7 linked regions of the Kluyveromyces lactis genome follow. The protein of the gene in region 3 interacts with the protein of the main gene of each other region in a pairwise test. Links are inferred from orthologs where the notes say so. Each region holds a gene or a part of one and is shown on either strand. Other genes may lie near its edges.

What was found.
Region 1: the proteins of ATG17 (region 3) and NUP82 interact in a two-hybrid assay, tested with the Saccharomyces cerevisiae proteins (2 studies listed by BioGRID). The link is inferred for Kluyveromyces lactis from reciprocal best matches to the Saccharomyces cerevisiae genes ATG17 and NUP82.
Region 2: the proteins of ATG17 (region 3) and ATG1 interact in a two-hybrid assay, tested with the Saccharomyces cerevisiae proteins (2 studies listed by BioGRID). The link is inferred for Kluyveromyces lactis from reciprocal best matches to the Saccharomyces cerevisiae genes ATG17 and ATG1.
Region 4: the proteins of ATG17 (region 3) and DAM1 interact in a two-hybrid assay, tested with the Saccharomyces cerevisiae proteins (2 studies listed by BioGRID). The link is inferred for Kluyveromyces lactis from reciprocal best matches to the Saccharomyces cerevisiae genes ATG17 and DAM1.
Region 5: the proteins of ATG17 (region 3) and TEM1 interact in a two-hybrid assay, tested with the Saccharomyces cerevisiae proteins (2 studies listed by BioGRID). The link is inferred for Kluyveromyces lactis from reciprocal best matches to the Saccharomyces cerevisiae genes ATG17 and TEM1.
Region 6: the proteins of ATG17 (region 3) and IES5 interact in a two-hybrid assay, tested with the Saccharomyces cerevisiae proteins (2 studies listed by BioGRID). The link is inferred for Kluyveromyces lactis from reciprocal best matches to the Saccharomyces cerevisiae genes ATG17 and IES5.
Region 7: the proteins of ATG17 (region 3) and DAD2 interact in a two-hybrid assay, tested with the Saccharomyces cerevisiae proteins (2 studies listed by BioGRID). The link is inferred for Kluyveromyces lactis from reciprocal best matches to the Saccharomyces cerevisiae genes ATG17 and DAD2.

The regions. Positions count from the first base shown.
Region 1 is NC_006042.1:156,060-160,061, forward strand, and holds NUP82 (linker nucleoporin NUP82), read right to left. Parts: upstream 2,614-4,002; coding exon 550-2,613; downstream 1-549. Other genes in the region: SDH8 (Sdh8p), read left to right, coding at 8-403; MRPL37 (mitochondrial 54S ribosomal protein mL54), read right to left, coding at 2,908-3,204; mannose-ethanolamine phosphotransferase LAS21, read right to left, coding at 3,410-4,002. UniProt on the Saccharomyces cerevisiae protein: Functions as a component of the nuclear pore complex (NPC).
Region 2 is NC_006039.1:1,497,594-1,501,782, reverse strand, and holds ATG1 (serine/threonine protein kinase ATG1), read right to left. Parts: upstream 2,825-4,189; coding exon 329-2,824; downstream 1-328. Other genes in the region: KLLA0_C17182g (uncharacterized protein), read left to right, coding at 1-50; GTS1 (Gts1p), read right to left, coding at 3,387-4,189. UniProt on the Saccharomyces cerevisiae protein: Serine/threonine protein kinase involved in the cytoplasm to vacuole transport (Cvt) and found to be essential in autophagy, where it is required for the formation of autophagosomes.
Region 3 is NC_006040.1:232,197-235,188, reverse strand, and holds ATG17 (protein kinase regulatory subunit ATG17), read right to left. Parts: upstream 1,809-2,992; coding exon 537-1,808; downstream 1-536. Other genes in the region: threonine--tRNA ligase MST1, read left to right, coding at 1-428; mRNA splicing protein SPP382, read left to right, coding at 2,023-2,992. UniProt on the Saccharomyces cerevisiae protein: Autophagy-specific protein that functions with ATG13, ATG29, and CIS1/ATG31 in response to autophagy-inducing signals as a scaffold to recruit other ATG proteins to organize pre-autophagosomal structure (PAS) formation.
Region 4 is NC_006038.1:999,329-1,002,149, forward strand, and holds DAM1 (Dam1p), read right to left. Parts: upstream 1,504-2,821; coding exon 562-1,503; downstream 1-561. Other genes in the region: cytochrome oxidase assembly protein SHY1, read right to left, coding at 1,987-2,821. UniProt on the Saccharomyces cerevisiae protein: Component of the DASH complex that connects microtubules with kinetochores and couples microtubule depolymerisation to chromosome movement; it is involved in retrieving kinetochores to the spindle poles before their re-orientation on the spindle in early mitosis and allows microtubule depolymerization to pull chromosomes apart and resist detachment during anaphase.
Region 5 is NC_006038.1:457,091-459,769, forward strand, and holds TEM1 (Ras family GTPase TEM1), read right to left. Parts: upstream 1,190-2,679; coding exon 518-1,189; downstream 1-517. Other genes in the region: ORC1 (origin recognition complex subunit 1), read left to right, coding at 1-287; RPS1B (40S ribosomal protein eS1), read left to right, coding at 2,081-2,679.
Region 6 is NC_006041.1:1,787,886-1,790,246, reverse strand, and holds IES5 (Ies5p), read right to left. Parts: upstream 913-2,361; coding exon 559-912; downstream 1-558. Other genes in the region: TORC2 complex subunit TSC11, read left to right, coding at 1-539; KLLA0_E20087g (uncharacterized protein), read left to right, coding at 1,177-1,551; MET6 (5-methyltetrahydropteroyltriglutamate-homocysteine S-methyltransferase), read left to right, coding at 1,935-2,361.
Region 7 is NC_006037.1:700,802-702,977, reverse strand, and holds DAD2 (Dad2p), read right to left. Parts: upstream 933-2,176; coding exon 534-932; downstream 1-533. Other genes in the region: NUP133 (Nup133p), read left to right, coding at 1-445; SGO1 (Sgo1p), read left to right, coding at 1,469-2,176. UniProt on the Saccharomyces cerevisiae protein: Component of the DASH complex that connects microtubules with kinetochores and couples microtubule depolymerisation to chromosome movement; it is involved in retrieving kinetochores to the spindle poles before their re-orientation on the spindle in early mitosis and allows microtubule depolymerization to pull chromosomes apart and resist detachment during anaphase.

The sequences.
Region 1 (4,002 bases), on a different chromosome or scaffold from region 3:
AACCTACATGCTTTCCAGTATAAGAAAACAAAGTGTAAGATTAGTCGGTCTAAGACCAGCCTTTGTCAGGTTGAATCAAATTAGAACATTTCAAGAAAGAAGAGCAGGTCCACCACCATTACCAAAGGAAGACCAGGAAGAGTTTGAAAGGCTGCAGAAGCTAGCGTCTTCTCAAGAAGCTATTGATTCTTATAATGCACAGTTTGAATCGGATCATACTATGGAATCGGTGAAATCGCCAATCTTGAAGAACGATATTGGTGGGTTTTCTCCAGAATTTATGAAGACTATACCAGAGTTCGAAGGCGAAAAGAATCCTAAAACAGGAGAAATTGGTGGACCAAAGCAGGATCCATTAAGGCATGGTGATTATTCTTTCAACGGAAGAGTCACCGATTTTTGAGCGCCATTCACACGTTAAAACAAAATTCGGTTAGTAGCATATTCACATAATGAAATGATATAAAAAGTAGCACATAATATAGTAAGGTATATGCCAGTTTTAAAACTAAAAACGAAAAAAAAAAGATATGTAGATGGTGATTGCTATTATACCGCTAGATCTTCAATGGATGCGCTTAACTCATTCATACAAGAATTGATGACCTTTTTGTCGTTCAGTAACATTTGTTGTAGGGAACTAAATTCTAGCTCGGAAAAGAAATCGTCTCCTTTAGTAGTTGATCTAAGCTGTGTGTCCAAAAACTCTAGTTCTTCGCGAAGTTTGTTTGTCAGATGTACATAGTTATTGAACTTTAATACCTGGTTTTTGATACTTTTGAACCACACTAGTTCGGCCTCGCTGATACTGCTTGTTCTTAATTTCTCGTTATTTTCTATACTGGAGAATGTCTCTTTTAACTTGTCAAGTCGTTTTTCCAACGTCTTGGACTTTTCCTCATACCTGGAATATCTTTCTTGGAGGTCTCCCAAGTTTCCGTTAAGTTTATTTCTCAACATTTCGATCTCGTTGGTTTTTCTTAATTGGCGATGGAGTTCAGCCACTTCTTCGTTGGATTTGTTGAACATTCTAAATAAAATCATCTGTCCCAACTTGACGCGCTTCATGGTTTCCTTGTAAAGTTCAGAAACCACTTCCAATTGACGTTCATTGGAATTGTTCTTCAAAGGGAGAGGAGCCAAAGAGTCCGGTATGCCTGAAATGAATCCATTGGCTTCTGTTTTATACTTCGTCAAAAGCATATCCAATTCCTTTCCAGACGTTGGCAACGATGGTTTATATGTATATTTCACTTCATCGGTTCTGTTTATGGGTTTCTGTGTGGTGCTCTTGTCGTTACTCTCGATGACCTTGAAGGAATTGCCGTTGTAAAGAATATCACCAGACAAGGTAGATAAAACACCGAGGAAAGTTCCTGAAACTGTTCTTATTTTATTTTCAAACTTAACATCATCAATGATAGAGAAGTCATGAAGCCTTATGCACTGTGCCAATGGTTCCAACCATGGCATTTCCATGATAGTCGTGGAGCTATCACCAGTAAATACTAATTTAGGTTCCGAGGAGTTTAGTAGTTGGCATTGACCTTTTGCATTGAACATTGTTATTACACTAAGGTTATTGAATGTAGTATTGGAGCGTAAACTCCAACTCATGACAATTTCAGAATCGGAGAACAACACAACGTTTGTTCCATCTATAAATTGAAGATTCAAAAGGCCCAAACGTTCTCCAACCGGTATGATTGTCAAGCCTGTGACCTCTTTCGCATTCAAAGCTGTCGGAAATTTTTTTATAATGAACGGGCCCTGTGGTACAGAGTTCCTGATTGCTTTGCTCGTGAATGTGTCTATACCATCATTTTTTTTATAGTTGTCGAAAAATTGAATTTGTTTCAATAGATCATGCTTTAAGGTGAGGTAATCGGATTCCACATCAGGATCTGAACCTGATATCAGCTTTAGCTGTTTATCGAGGCTATTGTATAAAGACAATGATTTGTGCAACATGTAATCCGCTAAAGAACCATTTTTCGTCCTTGATGTGACATTTGATGTATCATTACTGCGTAGGGAAAAATTCTTTGGTAGACACGGATGGATAGCATATATGTCACAGTAATTGAAGGAGCTCAGCAGATAAAGTGTCAAACCGGTTGGATCAAATGCAATGTCACAAACTGATTCCACATGGTCTGATAACCCAAATGATCTCGATTTACGATTGAAAACAGTGATAGATTCGGGTTCTAGGTCTTCAAGATCATAAATTCGAATTGTACTATCATCATGCAAAATAACGAAAGATAACCCATAAGTAGCCAGAGGATGCCATAATAGTTTTTTTATCCCTAGACTGGTATTGAAATGCTTTCTTAATCTAGATTGCTCATTCACTTCCATGACATAGAGCTCGCTGTTCGCATGAAATGCTACAAGGCCCCCCGACGGACTGATGACCATTTGTTCTGGAACGAATGGAAGCTCCACATTATAACTCCTGTATTGCGTTTCGTGGTCTGATTGCACTCTTAAGATGTTGTCCTGCCATAAATAAATAGTGTTGGAATTGTTGCAGACAAGACGGTCGGAAGGGTTCAGAGACACTTCCTGGAAGATTGCCTTCAAATCTTCTGTATTGAAGAGTAACATCCCACTATATTGGTTCAATATCCGGCAGTTAAAGTTATGGAAGAGAAGGTACCACAGTTAGATCGCCAGTTGATCTGTGTTACGTGTATTTCAAGAAGCGTGAGAGTAGTTCATCGTCGATATATTTTGAATATTTTGAACTTTAATAGTAAAAAAAAAAAAATACCTATAGCAGATCCAGTATTGCAGAAAAGGAAGTGTACGAAAGATATCAAAAAGTTATGTTAGATATGTGTCTTTATGTCATTTTTATATGTATATATATTTACAGGCGTGAATCATACTGTGGGTCCGTTAAATCTTTGCTAAGAAGTTATTTTGTTTGATGTTGGCACGGTTGGCTATCCTTAATTGTTTTTTTCTTAGCTTGATTGGATCAGCTGCTAGTTTTTCAGCTTGGACGTTGGCATCAAGCACTGTCCAGAGCCATTCAGGGTATTCGCTGTCTTCTAATGCCACGGGTTCCTTACCGGATTTCTTGATTTGTAAGTTCAATGGAGTGCCAGCTGGACATGATGACACGATCTTGGCAGCTTGGCCAGATGCCTCGCTTTTCACTTGGTTAAATAGCACGCGAGTCACTCTCAACATTTCTCTCTTTATATAATATGAAAAATAACCGATTTGTTATGGTGGGTATGTGGTTGCCGATACCAATTCGAACCTCAACAATAAGTTTTGGCAAGTTTGTCCTGCCTTGCGGCTATCAAAGTTCATGATCATTTACAGTCCAATTTGAATTTCTATGGTACAAAATGTTGATTTTATCGAAATTTTTCATTCAAAAACTAAGAATTCACAAAACGCCAAGCAGGGTAATGGCGAAATCCATGACGACATTATAGAGGGACCAGGCCGCGTAGTAGCATAGTTTCGGGCTAAACACGGACCAAATGAATAGGTGGTACCTTAGTGCAATGCACGCTATCATTAGACATGTTCCGGTGATATAGTAATGCTGCAAGCGTAGTGTCTTCTGTTTGTAGCTTTGAGGAATTAGTGAGAGAGCCCAGTAGATGGATGGTGCGTAGTTAGACAAGAACATTAATACACCAACAACGTATATGTTATAGTTGCTACTAACACCATTGTATGCATTAGTTAGATTGACAGTTGCAATGGAGTTCGTACCACCAAATTGGAAAAAAGTGAGGTTTTGTAGACATAATGAGAAAATTGGTGTGATGTCCGGTGTGACGCTAGTCAGTATTTCAAATATTAGAAACAATGGGATATTTGCAGATGAAGTTTGGAGCAACAAGACGAATTTTATAACACTCAGTAGTTTGTTTAACATATTGGTGCTTTTATTCAAGGCGTATTTCATGAAAAGAAGGATTATAATAGATACACCACATATTTGGAAGAAAATCCGAGCGATAGGCACTA
Region 2 (4,189 bases), on a different chromosome or scaffold from region 3:
AACAACAACGTACAAACCAAGGCTCCAATAGTACTATAGAGGTCCTTTGAGCGACATTTGAGTTATTTTGTCAAAAGTTGAAACGCTTTATATTTGCATCTCCCGTTTTGTTTCGTATTTGAAGTTTGGAAATTTTTAATTTGGTATTTAATTTATTATAATAAGTCATTCTATTCATAGATATAATCTTATTTTACTACTAAACGATATCGGTATCGTTTCAAAAAAAAAGTAGTAAGTGTTTAATGGAAAAAACCCTAATCCATATATATATAATCATTATATAAAATGTAAATTGTAAAAAACCCAATCCAAAAGATGATCAATCCTAAACCATTTTGGATTTTAGTGCCTTTAACCTATTAGCAATACTTGAAATGTATTTCTTTATCATTTCCTTATCTGATTCGTCTAAGGAGGTGATATTTGATGCATACTCGTCATCATAGACTTCGTTGAATTGAAAATTTTCGTCCAGCAAAATTTCTAACATCCATAATGAAGTAGCATAGGCTAGTTCACAAGTATTGTAATTCCCACTTTCCATTTCCATTCTTGCAGCATTTCTAGATATATCTAAAGCACGATCGTATATTAACTTTTCAACAAAAATTACAGGGTCATCATCTGACCATTGGGAATTTGGTGATGTATTAATAGCATGGAGCTTTAAACGCAAAAATTCAGCCTTGTCTAAGCATTCGTTAAAGCGATCTCTAATCCACTGCACCAAAATGTTTAGCTTCAAAGTGCAGTTTTTACTTTCATTTTCATACCACCATTTTGATGTTAATTTCATTGAAGCAGCTAAAATAGTAAGAGCTTTTAGATAAAGAAGTAAAGATTCGGTGCACAACTTTTTCAACTCGGGGGCCGGTATTTGAGTGTCAACATTGGTGGCTGATGAAATCTTTGTTGTTGCTGAGGTCAAAGTTTGATTAGAAGGTGGGCGGCCTTGATCCAAATCTTCTTCATCCTCTATCGCGCAACTTCCGTTACTTAGACGTTTATCTGACAGTGGGTCATAGTCGGTTGAAGAAGGAGGAGTTGGAAGAATTTGAGAGAATTTCATTTCAGCGAACGAATACATGACAAATGCTTTGGCCGCAAGCGATTCCACTGCAGGAGTTATGTTGGAATCCAACATTTGTTCGCTGAAAGGATTTAGTTTATGATCAGCCCTCAATACTGCATTTTCCGTTAGCTCCTGAAATATCTGAGGATTCAGTAGTGTTTGTTGAGGTGGCGAAGAAGTAGCCTTTGTATTATGTTGATATCCGAAAAGCCTTACAGAAGCTAACCCTAGTGCCTTCGATAACGCATTCGACGGGCTTAATGACGATATCGAAAGCCTTCTCTCCACTAAAGAGGCTCTTCTTCCTCCTGATGCATCGCTAGAAGAAGACGTTCTGTATCTCAAGGGTTTTATAACTTGTGCCCCTTGGTTGTTTGTTATGGGTCCATTATTAGCAAAATCATCAGCCAAAGAATTTACTTCGACAGTTTTCTTCTCCACAACAACATACTCCTTCTCCAAAATCAAATCATTGTAAGAGCTCTTTAGCCTCTTCTGACTTGCAGATTGGTAGCTTTGTTCTGGGTTTTGAGAGTTATCTTCTGGGTGGATCTGTTGATGTGGTGGATGGTTTGTTGCGAGCCTCTCTTTACCTGAGGTTCGCCTAACGCCAGTTTGTACACTAGTGTTCTCGTCAGTTTGAGTTGGTGGTATATGTGCAGATTCCTGCTGCTTTAATGGTTTGACTAGATATTCTGAAACAAACATATTACTTTCAGCGACATCTTTACTCTTGGATTCTAAGTCTGGCTCATACGATTGCTCGTACCTTGTCAAATCTTCTGTCACTACTTCGTTATTGAAAAAATCAGTGAACCCCATACGGGAATCCGGGTCAAAAGTTAGCAACCCTCTTATTAGATTGAACAGTTTCGGTTCAATATAGCAATTTGAGGGCACTGTAATCTCATCGTTGGCCTTTTTAATCTTTTGAAACAACTCGAGATGGTTTGATGCTTTAAAAGGCGGTCTCCCGCAACACATTTCGTATAGCACCGTTCCTACTGACCAAAGATCAGCCTTGGCATTGTATTTTTGATAGTTTAATATTTCTGGAGCCATGTACAATGGTGACCCGCATAAAGTTTCTGCTAGAGAAGTATTAGGCAAGAATCTAGCGAACCCAAAATCCGCGATTTTCAAGATGGGTAAATTGTAGATTCCCACAAACCCCAACTCATGAAACGTCTTCGGATCATTATAATCTAATAACGGTGTGCATAACAATAAATTCTGTGGCTTGATATCTCTGTGTACTAGATTCTTAGATCGCAAAAACTTAAGCGCAGAGGATAGTTGTTGTAAATAGTTTACCACAAGAACCCGATTTAATCCATTATGTTCCGTACTTGGTGGCGGGTAATGTTCAAAAACAGTCTTTATCAAAGGATGCTTGAGCACTAGGTTCTTCCTCTTCTTTATGAAAAACGTTAAATCACCTAGTGCACAGTATTCCATGATCAAATAGAAATCAGATGAAGTCCGCTCACAATCTATTAACCCCACAATATGCGGATGTTTGATCTTCTTTAAAATGGCAATTTCGACCTCCAAATTCTCCAAAAGCTTCTTGTTCTTTAGCTTCGACCTCGACACGGCCTTGATAGCTATGTTTCTCCCATCTCTTAACGATAGACCTTTGTAAACAACCGCGAATGAACCCTTACCGATCTCCTTCTCCACGGAATAGTTTTCTGTCGGCAAACGAATGGCTTTCGCCACAACTTTGTCGTGCGATTCTGAACTCATGCTCAACCGCTTTCCATATGACTACTCAGTGCCAGACCGTTGTCATTCTTTGGCCTCTTTCTTTACAAGGGGGGGCGTTCTTATTTCTTATAAATGGTTTTTAAGGATCAAAACTTAGTTTGTAATAAGTCATTTTGAACTTTATATAGAAATAAAGAAACAAAGAAGGAAAGACAGATATATCGCAGAAAACGTACACAGTAAAGGCAGTGGAAAGACACTGGTGCTTGGTGGAACGGTTTTAAGAAAACGCTCGTTAAGTGCAAATAAGATATGATTGGTTATGAGTCAATGGGAGGTTTTTTTTTTGATGGTCAGTAAGATAATAGTGGTGATAGCTAGGTAGTAAGTAGATCGTGGATGTTCCGGATAAGAGTGTATAGCAGACGTTGTGAAACGTCAGAGGAGGAAGACAAAGTTAGATATTAGTTGTAGCGGTGTTTTGGTTTTAGCCATATTTACGTATTATATAGGCAAACATAGGTATGAGAGATTAAACCGTAGTGCGGTAGCAGATGTGCAGTTGCAGCTGCAGCTGCAAAGAAGGCCAAGGGATGATGATCTATTGGAATGGGGGGTAGAATTGTTGTTGGTACTGTTGTGGTTGTTGGTATTGCATTTGTTGTAACTGTTGTTGCTGCAGGAGCTGTTGCTGTTGCTGCTGTTGTAGCTGCTGTTGTTGTAGCAGTTGCTGTTGCTGCTGTTGTTGGTCCTGCTGTTGTTTTTGGAGATTCAGGATCTGTTGGTATTGTGGATTATCCGGTTTGATTTCTACGGCACTAGAATATAAATCTGGTCTTTGATACAGTGATAATAGTGTGTTCTTATCTATCGATGGTTGAGCAGTGAATTGAGGCTGTACCTGTTGGGTGAACTGAGGTTGTAATTGCTGTGTGAATTGGGGTTGCACTTGTTGTGTAAACTGAGGTTGAACCTGTTGTGTAAACTGAGGTTGAACTTGTTGTGCCAATGCTTGTACCTGGGCCTGCTGCATTGCCGCATAGGAGTTTTGATCTACATAAATTTGGCCGGTAGTTGGATCATAGTATTGTTGTACCCCATCGAATACTGCTGGGCGAGGTTCTGCCGATGCTGTACTAGGTAGGCTTGGTTCACTTGTTCCATCGAAAACGGCTTCTTGCACTTTGTTGTCCGGCCTTTTTGGAAGCGGAGGTCTGTCTCCTTCTCTTGATCTTGGTCTACTGCTGGCAGATGAGGCAGAACGGTTTCTTCTGGACCCGGACGCAGATGATGGGCGGGATGACTTGTAGTCCAATTGTGACGAATCATCCTCTAGATTGAAATCTTCCACCTTGACAGCGGTATGTCTGAACTTACCCTTTAAATATTTATCCCTGATAAACA
Region 3 (2,992 bases):
ATAGGGCTGTTTTCGGTTCGGTGGAAAGATTCATGGCCATTTTAATTGATTCAAGCAAAGGTAAATGGCCGTTTTGGTTGAATCCAAACCAATGTATGGTCATCCCAGTGAAGACTGAAGATGAGAAGATAATGGAATTGGCTTTCAAGACAGTCAACTCATTACGTGGTGAAAATAGTGATCCAAAAAGCCCAATTCCACTCAACAGCTTCCATTTCTCTGTTGATATGGATGCAAGAGATGAATCTGTAAGTAAAAGAATTAGAGAAGCCATCAAGAAGCATTATTCTTATATTATAATGATTGGTGACAAAGAAGTTGAAGCAGGCAAGGTGGCGATTAGAACCAGGGAGTCGAAGAAAGTGGATTTACTAACTATCGATGATGTCTTTGAAAGGTTCGTCGATCTTGAGAAAAATTATAAATGATACCTTGCAATTTTTGAACCACAGAAAGTAATGTTAACCATAACGATGTAAAAGATAATTTATACCTGTAAATATGTATACTTATGTATCAATAATAACACAATACCGTCAATTCGGTACATTATGTATGCTATATTCGAAACTATACATCGATTCCATATCGTCGATATAACCTGGCCAGATGTTTTCGGGAAGATAGTCACCATTTTCAAGTAAAAATTGCTGGCGTTGGTCCAAGTCAGCATCACTCAGTGCCTGTAGTTTCTCCTGACATTCCTTTAATATTTTCTCCATTTGTAACGCAGTGGCTTTCCGTCTGTCTCTTTCTCGTAGAAGGTTTTTATACCCTAATTTGAACTTATCGTAAAACTCACAGAGTTGTTGCACTTGTTCAATCTTTTTTATGCAAGATTCCTTATAAACGAATACTAAATTAGCAATCTTTTGGAAGATAGATAAGTATTCCTCACATTTTTCTAACTCTGTCACAATCTTGGAAGCCAGCAGATGGAATCCACCAATTTTGTCCATTATTTCACTTATTGTTTCATTGACTTTCTTTGAGAAAGCTTTCACTTCAAGTCCCGTTTCGAATACTAATTCCCTTATATTTTCTAACTGTGTATCGTCTTTCTTTACAATCTGGAAAAGTTCCTTCAAATCTGGTAGTGGAATCTGCTGTTCCTTCAATATCGTGCATTTGTCGAAATGATCAGTGATTGATCTCAAGAAATCGGCAAGTTCATTCTCAAATTCGTTCAATTCAGTGACATAATCACTTTCCAACAATTTGAATAGATTATTTTTGCTATCCCTGCTGAAATGTGAATCAAAGTAAGTTCTGAGTTTTTTCAACTTTACAGCCACTAGTTGGTTTTCTATTCGATCTTTTATCGATTTGTAGTGTTGTCGTATGTTTGTCACTTGTTGTTTTATAATAGGAATCTCATCGATTTTTTGTTGTAGTATGTCTACGTGATCCATGCATATGAAATCTGAAAGGCTACTGTGATCGTCAGTCAAGTCGTATTTTGTACCCTGCAAGATCTTCATCTTTGTTGTTATCTCGTTTTGCCAATAACTCACGTCATTGACTATCTCGACTAAAACCAGCTTTGACCATTCATTGTCAATCAACTCTGTAGAAATACATTTCTCGAGCATGATATTCTTGAAGAACTCAACCTGGTTCACCAAACAATTAAGTATAAATTTAAGTTTAAATCTGGACTTTTGAGAGCTGTCCATTTCAGTTCGCACTTTAGAGAGGATTTTTAATGATTCTTCACATTCGACTTGAGCTTCCACAAGCTGGTTTCTCGCCTTATTCCACAATTTATCTATCTCATCACTGGGTATAGTAGTTGCAGCATCACTCATTTCTTGTAGACGCAGTTCAGATCAACCGAAAGATCTTCATCTCTTCAACGTTTCCAATTTGAAACCCTTAAACGGTCAATTTCACTTCGAAGACTGAACTTCAAACCTTTAAATCTTTTCAAAGTATGAATAAATACCTATTAATCGGAGTAAAGATTGAAAGGAGTATCAGTCACTCCAAGTCAGCTATTACTACTCCAGTGATTCAGTATAGATGTCAGAACATATCAGTGACGATGATCAGTTCAAAAGAAGAAAGATCAGTATGACAATGAATAGTATGGTATTTACCGATCCATATGGATATAGCGATGACAATGAAGAACAAAAAGAAGAAGAAGACTATGAACCGGTACGACAAGCCAACTCCAATGATGGATTGAAAAGCGACCAGATGTTAAAGACCTATGGTATGGGTGCCAAGCTTTTATCAAAAATGGGTTACAAACAAGGTGAAGGTTTAGGACGAGATGGGAAAGGTATAGTGAACCCAATCGAAACAGTCACTCGTCCTAAAGGTGTCGGATTAGGGATGTTAAGTGCAGTACATGATAGAGATGACTCCAACTATAGTAATACTTCAGCATCATCAGATGAAAGTTCAAATAAAAAGAAAACAGTGGAGTTTAAGACTCGTCGTGCCACCCAGCTTGAGAAATTGATTCAAAATATAAGTCTCCTTGCGGAATTAAAAATAGAACTACCTGATACGGTGACAAGAACAATCAATGGTTCTGAATTACATGAAGAAGAGATTTCCTCTTTGAATGAAATTGCTAATAAGCTTCTGCAGCTTCATTCGGACATAGATAGAATACAAGTTGGCTTGGAAAAAGCTCAACTAGATGACGAGCGCAAAGTACACCAAGAGGAAAGGCTACAAAGTGTTTTAGAAAAAGTCAAGGAAAAACAACTTTCGCAACCAAGTCTTGAAGATCAGATTACTGAATGCCTAGAAATAAATGACGATGACATACTTGATAAGCTCTGTACCATGTTCTTGCTCAAAGAGCTTAATCGTGGAATTAATACGGCAGATATGCAGGTCGAAAAGTTGAACCATTTGAGGGCAGCAATAAGGTTTCTTTCATATAGAATGGAATCTGGATATATTTTGAACGAAACACAAAGCAGCATTTATAGGTTGGTGTATCAACCCTTATGTTATTGGTTAGATTCAAATA
Region 4 (2,821 bases), on a different chromosome or scaffold from region 3:
AACTGTGCAGTTATTCTTTTCTTCGTCAATCGCTTCCCAATACGTGAATGAACAAAGAGTTAAAATCAACAAAAAAACATCAATGTTTCTGGTGTGTAACCGTCAGCAGCTAGAATGGAACTGATCAAGATGTATGGCTAAACACTTATATGCCACTTTCTTATATTTAAAATGTACAACCAATACCTTCTCAAAATCTTCTCATCTCATTCTTTATGTTAGCTCTTTCATTGATTTATGTTCTCTGTAACTTCGGTCATTTTTCTTCACAGAATTCCTTGCAGAATGAAATGAAGAGGGCGGCCTTTATTTGCTCAATAAGCTCAACTCGAATAAAAGTAAATCGAACGAGACTTCACTTGAAACGAGAACGTTCATGTATCACTGATAAGCGGTAAGAGCAGCCTCATAGAGCACTTCAATCTTTACTGAGTACCTTCAGTAATTTTTTTTTCTTCATTTTGTTAACTGACGTTGTAATATTACATTGTTTGGTAGATATACACACGGTATGAATATGTATCTAGAAAAAAGCTCTGGTAAGAAGTATCAAATAACTCGTTACCTGAAAGGAGGCCTGCTTGCAAGGTTTTTTGGATTATAGGTTCTCTGTCTTGTTCTTACAACTCTATTCGGTAGAGCGGGCTCTGTATTTGTAGATTCACGATTAGCAGAAGAGGCAGAGCCAGCGGTAGTCGATGATCCTGCCAAGATAGGAATTCTTTTTGCACTGACTGCTAGTGATCTTTTTCTTTCTCCAGGAGTAATACCTGTTAGTGTATTAGGTATAGTGCCTATTGCAGCGTTGTTTCGTATTTGATGTAGAATGGATCTTCTTCTGAGTTTCGATGACGCGGAGCCTACCGTTTGTTTTCCCATAAAGTCAGTTGAAGCTCCTACTGAAGATATCATTTGAGGTTTGAAAGTAGTTGGGTTGGATACAAACGAAGCGGCTGTGTTATCTTCGTCATCGTTAATGTCAATGTTAACATTCGAGCTTGCAGTAGAACCTGGCACATTTTCATCACGATACAACATCTGAGAACCTCGTGATAAAGGTTGTCTTGAAAGAGGTAATATGCTTCCTTTGGTAAGTTCCTTTGGCTTGAGTTTCGCCTGTAGTGCTTGTCTTTCTTGTTTCAACTCTTCTAGTCTTTGGATTAATTTCAATTCATGCGGAGTATCATGAGATATGTTCGGGAAATCAACACACCAAGAGTTACACATCAATCCGTATAATAAAGCGCTTAGAGCCTCATTTAAATCCGCTATCGATTCATGAATGAAATTCATGTGCGTCATGTTACCATCGAGTGTTACCATCGAGTCCGAAAGTTCCTGTAATTGTGGGAGCACGTATTTTTCAATCATTGTTTGATTTGACGCATGCTGATCTCGACCGTTGTTGCCTAAACTAGATCTTCTTGAGCTTGCATTAGATGACAAAGATAGTCTATATTCAGTTGGCCTGTCCCGCTGTGGAGTATTTGGCCTTTGAGACATATCTTATGAGCAGATGAATCCAGCAGTTTTATGTTGAGTTTGGAATAGTGCCAAGTAGCCCTGAGAATTTAAGATGAAAGGTCAAAAAAAAAAAAAACAAGTAATGAATTTACCTCAGACTGTCTATGAGATGTCAAATTAGATACCAGGTTGCCCAAAGAGACACTATCGCATTCCGTCTGTCTGCTTGGAGACACCTTACTGTTCGTGTTTTTGTTTTGCTTTACTTTATTTACGTTTTCGATTTTCGATGTACAAGTATTTCAACGATAGTTAGTTAGTATTCATCAACAGGAATGAAAATCATTCAAAATAGCTATAATAGTATTTACAGGTACAAACAAGGTTGATACTACTATGTGTTTAGTAATTAACTGCTTGAATATAATTTATTGGAATTTGAGTATCTCGAATACTAGAAAATTGAAGGAAATGATGGGATCGAGATAGAAATTCCTGAGAATATCAATATGTGTTTCTTTATCACATGAACTTCTTGGCATGTTTTAGCTTTTGCCTCTTTATTTCATCCTGTGACATAGCGGAACCACGACCACGTCTTAGTGCAATGATAAGGAAGATAGATGAAAGCAGAGATAACCCATACCAAGTAATTAAATATTGTAAATGATTATTCTTCAAATCAATCTTTGGTGCTTTACCAATAGGCACTCCCGCTTTAACGAATTGGAACTCGTTAAATTCCAATCCTGTCTCCGAATCTGCTGTATTTACTTTCTTCGTGTTGACGTGTGGTTTCTCGGATTCTTCTTGTTGTGGTTCTGTTTCGGTTTTCTTTTTAGACCAGAATTTCCAAGATGATTGGTTTTTGTTATCGATACCCTCAGATTTTGATTCTTCATCCCAATGGTGATCTTTCAGATCGTAAAGAGCTTGGTAATGAATAGGAGAAGTATGTGTCATCTCTGTCATATCCTTAATATCCAAGACTTGCCACAATCTACTCTCCCTGTCTTCCTTCTTCCATTGCATTGATGTCAAATCTTTAGCTGCACGCACTAACACTGTAATTGTCACGTTATCGCCTTGAGGTAAAGACAAATGTTGCAAGTTACGAGATGATGGAACGATTTTCTCCTCCGAGATCCAACCACGTTCAATCAAAATTCTTTCTCCCGTATCCTTTCTGATGAAAGGCGTATATAAAACGTACCCCTTGATCCCTCCTCTAACACGGGGGCCGACAAAAATCTCTTCATCATGCAAGAATCTACCGGTCATAGTACACTTGCGGTATTCCCAGTCTTCGCACATATCCGGTGTAAACGTTTTAGGTAACGGAATAGGATCGTAGGTT
Region 5 (2,679 bases), on a different chromosome or scaffold from region 3:
TACAACTTGGTGATATCGTAGAAGAAATGAGGCTCCTCATTGATGTCAATGGGAATAACAAATACATTTTAGAGTTGAAACGGATTTTATTCCAAAATGATTCTGTTGATACAAAGGAACAGTTAAGGGCCGTGTCTTGGGACTATATTTTATTGCAATTATTGGATGCAGGTGTTGTAGTAAGGCAATATTTGAAGAATGAGAGGCTCTCGACGATCAAATTAAATATTTCCATGGAAGATGCGGAGCAATGCTTGCATGAAGATGAAATGTTGAAGACATTTTAGTATATGCCTTCAAGACGCCTTTGCTGCTATTATAATTGCTACTTAGGTTGTCATGTAGCGTAGCGGTTAAGTAGAATATGAAACTGCTTTTTCAACTATTTAATTATAAGATAGAAAGATATAATAAAGGATGCATTTTTTTAACTACTATTTTACCGTGTTTATTCATTCTTTACCCTCCCGCTTCGGGCAAGATGAAACCGTTGATCACGTAATAGGAGGTAGGTGATTTACGATGATGGCGGAGGGGTATGCACTTGTCTTTTTGGAGAAGAAGGTCGCGAAGGACCGAATGATTTGTATATCAGTAAGGGCTCGCCGATCTGTTTATATTCCGGTACTTTCAGAGTTAGATTGAAAGCTTTTGCAATCACGACCTTAAATATTTTCTGTACGTTGATTGATGATTGGGTCGAGCAAAATATCAGAGGCGATTTCATAACTTGAGCGTATTTCATCGCAGTTCTAGATACATTTTCTTGATATTCGGGGTCCATATCGACGAAAAGGTCATATTTAGTTCCAACCAGAATTGAAATTGCTGTATCATTGAACCCCCTTGCTTGTCTGTACCATTCTTTTATCGAATTTAAAGTCTCTGGCCGCGTCAAATCGAAAAGAAATACTATTGCAACTGCACCTTCGGATACTAAAGGGAGCATATTGATAAATTCACGTTGACCTCCAAGATCCATTATGGAGAATATAACGTCTGTGGATCCCAGCACCACTTTCCGCTCGAGGTAATGCACCCCCAATGTCTGCGTATATTCCTCATCAAACACATTTTGTACGTATTTGACCATTAAAGAAGTCTTTCCAACTTGTGCATCACCTATCAGGCCAACTTTCACCTTGACCTGGTGTCTAAGGCTCGGTACTCGATCTTTATCCAGAGACATTGCAACGAAAAAAAAAAGAGTGTTATCTGTAGACTTGTCTCACTGCTCTGTGTGTGTATATATCTGTAGCACACAGGATGTTTTAAAAGATACAATTGAACTTGGATATCAGCACGTATTTGTATGTTTCTATGTGTCGTTATGGAGCATACCGATATGTGTGTAGATTCTCATTATTTACCTTTAAATCATGGTAGCATGAGAAATGGAAAATGACAACATTGGGACTGTTGTTCGCGGTCACGTGTTGCTTTGACATCCGGACACCATTGTATTCATAAGTTTTACATCCATACATACTGTGTGTATCTTCAAATTTCATAACAGTAAGATATTTTGCTAAATAGGAACTTTGTTTACTGCTGTCATGTGACCGGGTGAGCCTAACACGAAAAATTAGGCTCAATCTCTAGGCTGAGAGGGCAGGAATTCCTGGCCTAGCTCGACAGAACGCTCCACAGTAGGAATCTCTTCCCAGCCTCCACTGGCTGACTGTAACTCCCTTTCCCCTCCCTTCACTACACCATTCCCATTAGCATCTCCCATTGGCATTCCGCCTACAGTCTTTCTCACACCGGTCCGTACCACCCGCCCCATCGTTTCGCCTGCTTGCGCTTCATTCGCTGTGGTGTCTTCCTCCTAATATCGAGTCCCATTTTTCAATGACGATTGACAATTATATTGAATTTTGAATTATCGAAATAGTAACAGTTGAAGAAATATGAATTTTGTATTGCAGGAAGAGAATAATTTATAAGATTTTGATACTGGATAGTTATTGTAACAGCTATTTTATTTGATACAGTTATATTTTGTTAGTGTAATCATTTCCTTTGGTTCTATCGAAAGTAAGCAGATCAACCAGAAAAGTACCATAAACATTTATTCAAGATGGCTGTTGGTAAGAACAAGAGATTGTCCAAGGGTAAGAAGGGTTTGAAGAAGAGAGTTGTCGACCCATTCACCAGAAAGGAATGGTACGATATCAAGGCCCCATCCACCTTTGAAAACAGAAATGTTGGTAAGACTTTGGTCAACAAGTCTGTTGGTTTGAAGAACGCTTCCGATTCTTTGAAGGGTCGTGTTGTCGAAGTCTGTTTGGCCGACTTGCAAGGTTCTGAAGACCACTCTTTCAGAAAGGTCAAGTTGAGAGTTGACGAAGTCCAAGGTAAGAACTTGTTGACCAACTTCCACGGTATGGATTTCACCACTGATAAGTTGAGATCTATGGTTAGAAAATGGCAAACTTTGATTGAAGCCAATGTTACCGTTAAGACCTCTGACGATTACGTTTTGAGAATCTTCGCTATTGCCTTCACCAGAAAACAAGCTAACCAAGTCAAGAGAACTTCTTACGCTCAATCTTCTCACATCAGACAAATCAGAAAGGTTATTTCTGAAATCTTGACCAGAGAAGTTCAAAACTCCACTTTGGCTCAATTGACTTCCAAGTTGATTCCAGAAGTTATTAACAAGGAAATTGAAAACGC
Region 6 (2,361 bases), on a different chromosome or scaffold from region 3:
TTGGGCCTATCAAAATACCACCAGGAGACATTCAGATTGAATGGGATGAAGTGAATGAACACAATCAGAACGCGGCGTCTATATGTAACAATGAACTGAATTCGAACATTATAGTTGGGGACCATGAGATCCCTTTAGACAACTTATTGGAATGGGAAAGATCCGAGACGTCTGTGAATCCCGACCAGCAGGAAGAGGACAAACAAGAATTGGAACGAGCGATCCGAGAGATATCCCAAACAAATGAGTCGAAACTGCCAGATGTGTTTGAAGATGACAAGATCAACAATAGGATCCTAAGGATAGTAAGCGATATGGGCAACAATATCCTTCTGAATGGTGCGATCAAAGAGATAACTGCTCTCCAGTCCAAGTATGGGCCTAGTAGATTCCAAAGCCCAGAAATGTTTGAACAAGTTTATGAATTATTGGGAGAGTACCGATTCAAACCCTCAGTTCGAAAATTTTTGTTGGAACTGTTCATCAACACACGAGCCGTTGAGAACATGATACGGAACGAGAGGAGAAGAAAAAGATAATTCAGGACAAGCCAAACTTTCATTCAGAACCATCCTTATATAGTAATGGAGTCATCTTAAATAATTCATAAGATTCTTGTAAAGCTTCTGGGATCTCGATTTCATCCAAGGGCAACGAGTTCACTTCTTCTAAACTCTTCAAAAGTGGTACCAGAGCATCCCAATCTTTAAACTTCTGATAATCTGGCTGTTGGAAGATGGGGTATCCATTTAAATTGATGTGAATAGGCTCACCTAATGATTCTAATACCTGGCAGACACTTGTAATCTTGCGAAGCAAGATACTGTAATCTTTCCTAAGAGAAACGTCTTGTTTCAGCAATTCTTCTCTTCTATTAAGAAGCTTCTTGTGCTCTACTTCCAAAGTCGGCATATTGGATGTTTGGTGGTAATAGCACTGAAACTGGAGAAAATCGTCTCACCTCGTAAATAGTTGTTCGAAGTTAAGAAGAAGAGTGATAATTGCTGGCTTAAATTTCTGCTGAAAGAGAGTTCCAATCGAGAGAGACAGTCTACTACTTCTGTAGGTCACGTGAAAATACATGTGACTTGGAAATGCTGTTCAGTTTGGAGCTCTTTCAATCAATCCGGGTAAGTATCACGAAGTCATCGTCACCATGTGAAAGAAAGGAGGAGGATGGTGTGGAAAAAAAAGGATCAAAATTGCTTTGGAAAAGTGCATAAAAACGCCACAACAAGCACAACCACCGCCCCAACCACACCCTTACAGACCAAATTGAGCCACATTGCAGTCCGAACCATTCCCCGTGACCGGTTAGCCATGACTACGGCACAGCACGTGACAGTTACCATTTGCCCAACCTACGTCGGTCTTATACCACACTATTTACGTCAAAACACCGTGCAGGAAACCATGTGGAAACCATTAGGCAAACCACATGTGAAATGCTGTGCGATTCGTGGGAAGTGTTATTTTGACGACATGTGCTTTTCTATGGTATCTGAGAGAGCCCCATCTCTGCAGAAAGAATCCTTTGGTGAATTGTGGTGAAAAGTTTTGTTCTGTTACGTTCCGATGAGCTCAAGTCAAAAGTAAGTAGTAGTAGCAGCAGTAGTAATAGTGGCAGTTTTGTAGTTGAGCAGATTTTTTCGTGGGAACGACTAGAGCAGCCGAAGGTAATTAAGACTCATCGTTTAAACGATGTTTGTTGGATCAGAAACTTCAGTCCAAAGAGGATCTGAAAAAAAATGTATATAAGCAGTCGACTCTTGATGTAATTTGAGGAGTGACAATTGTTCATCATTACAATAATAAAAGGAATTATGTGTACTTTGTTTAAATACAGATTTATTTCCTTTATCATTCAGTTTGAGTTTAATATCTTAAGCCAAACAAACCAATCACTAATCATACATTAGTTTGTCAATAACAAAATGGTTCAATCATACGTCTTAGGGTTCCCAAGAATTGGGCCAAACAGAGAATTGAAGAAGGCTACCGAAGGGTACTGGAACGGTAAGGTCTCTGCTGAACAATTACAACAAGTTGCTAAGGACATCAAGGCCTCTAACTGGAAGTTGCAAAAGGATGCTGGTGTCAATGTCATTGCTTCCAACGATTTCTCTTTCTACGATCAAGTCTTGGATCTTTCTCTATTGTTCAACGTTATCCCACAACGTTACTCTAAGTATGAATTGTCTCCATTGGACACTTACTTTGCTATGGCTAGAGGTTTGCAAAGAAAGGCTACCGAAACCACTGCTGCTGTTGATGTGCCAGCTTTGGAAATGGTTAAATGGTTTGACTCCAACTACCATTATGTCAGACCAACCTTCTCTAACTCTACTGAATTCAAATTGA
Region 7 (2,176 bases), on a different chromosome or scaffold from region 3:
CACACTATTAAATCAAGATACTTCTTATGGATTTGCATTGAGTATCCTTGCCATTGATCACACGTTACCCACTGAAGTAAAAAAGTACTGCGAGTACCAGATCTGGAGAAGGTGTCTCTTATCCGATGAAAATGCGGTTAGACAAACTTTAAGGGTCTTTTTCAAGCAGCAGTTCTACCATCAAAGTATCGAACTTCCAATCATCGACAACTTGGCCAATGAGAAATTGATCACTGACTCATACCTGGATGGCATGTACCATGGACTAACCGATCTTAATAAATTAGCTAGCGACGTCAAACGAGAGGTTGCTCTTTTCGCTAATTCGAATTTGGACGTTACGATGTTACAATCCATCATTGGAGAAATCAACGAGGAAACCGGTAACCAATGTGTCATCAATTACGCAACTAACACAATCGAGACAAGTCCCACATCTTTCTAATTCAATAATAGAAGAAGGTGCCACACCAATTAATTGTACATAGTATAAAACCTGTTTATACACCATATGTATATATTCAATAAAAACGTTATTCAACGTCATCTGCAACTTTCACCCGTACCAAAGTTTCCGGAAGCGGAGGTAATTGATCCTGTTGCCGCTGCTGGTTATCTTCTGAACTTTCTGACGCAGCACTTTCATCTTCAGCGCCCTGTTGGTTTCTATGTTCCTCTTTACTGGCCCATTTCCCAGTCTCATAGTCGTTTTCTGTATACTGAAGTAAAGATATCGAAGCCTGAGAGATAGACCGAAGAACCGAGTCCCAATTAGCCATTACGTCTTTAACAGTCACAGCATTGCTATTCATCTGCGCTACCTGAACGCTCAGCTCGTCCAATTGAGCCTTTAATTTCTGTGTCAATGCAGAAACATGCTTCAAATAATTCAATTCTCTTCTCTTAGTCTCGATCTCGGTTTCAAATGCCATACTGACAACTTTTTTTCAGGTGACCCAAACCTCTTACTCTTCAGCTAGAATATATCATCCAACTCGCTCCGAGAAGTGTCTATCTTAGCTGATAATTCTTGGTTCTTCTAGTCTTTGAAAGAATTCACATTGTAGAGATTAGTTCAAAGTCGTGATTTCATATTATTCCGATATTGAAATAAAGGAAGAAAACTCGAGAAAACCGACTTGTATCAGGGGAGATTGATCTATACAAGCTACGCTAAGCATTAACACCGCTATTTAGAATGAACGAAGGGTTGGATAACATCAAATTGCCCATTACATGTCCAACTTACCTCATTTGAATTAAATGTAGTACTAAATATGATCCGGGTAATCTTGTTTTTTTGTGTTTACATCGTAGAACAAAACGTAAACAATGAAAACATTCAAAGCTTTAGATCTCATTCAGCGTTTAAATAACCTGTTCATTGACTGAAAGAAGAGCGATTCCTAAGTCTATAGGGACCCGAATTGACGGCGGATAGTGTTACTAAGTTTTGTGAGAGTGCAACATGAGCGCTTCTTCGCAGTACGATGAATTTCAAGCTATGCTTGAGCAACAAAAGGGAATTTATTTACAGCAGAACAGTCAGCTTGCGAAATATAATTCCAGTCTTATGATGAAAATCACTGATATGGAGACTAAAGTGAGTGAATTGGTGCAAGAGAATGTTTCCTTACGGTCGCGGCTTTCTATGGGTGAATTGCGCTATCGTGAGAAGCTCAATACTGTTTTCCAGACGTTAGAGGACGGAATTGTAGAAAAATTCTTGCAAATGAACCAATTGTTGACCACAGTACGGGAGAGCCAGGGTTTAGAATCAGGTATTCATGATAACCCTCTTAAACCGATTTTGAGAGGCTCGAATGGTATAAGCCCGAGATCTGCGAAGAAAGTGGAGTTTACTGGTGCAAATACCACAACGAAACCAGTTGGGTTTGAGGATCCAATTGCGGAAGATAACCATGAAAATAGCGGGAATAGTCTCGAGCTGAATGATGATGAGGTACGACCTCTGAGAAAGAGGAGGCGTAAGAGTTCACGGAGAGAGTCGTTGTTCATTCCTGCAGATTTCGAGTTTAACGATGAGGACCCGGAACTAGAACTGAATCAACTGCCGATAACTGAGGATGAACCGCCGCCTAGTACTGCAGCCACCTCAGTACCTGAGGAAGAGTCTCAGGAGAACAAGCATACAAAAGAAGAGCGTGAAGACGAG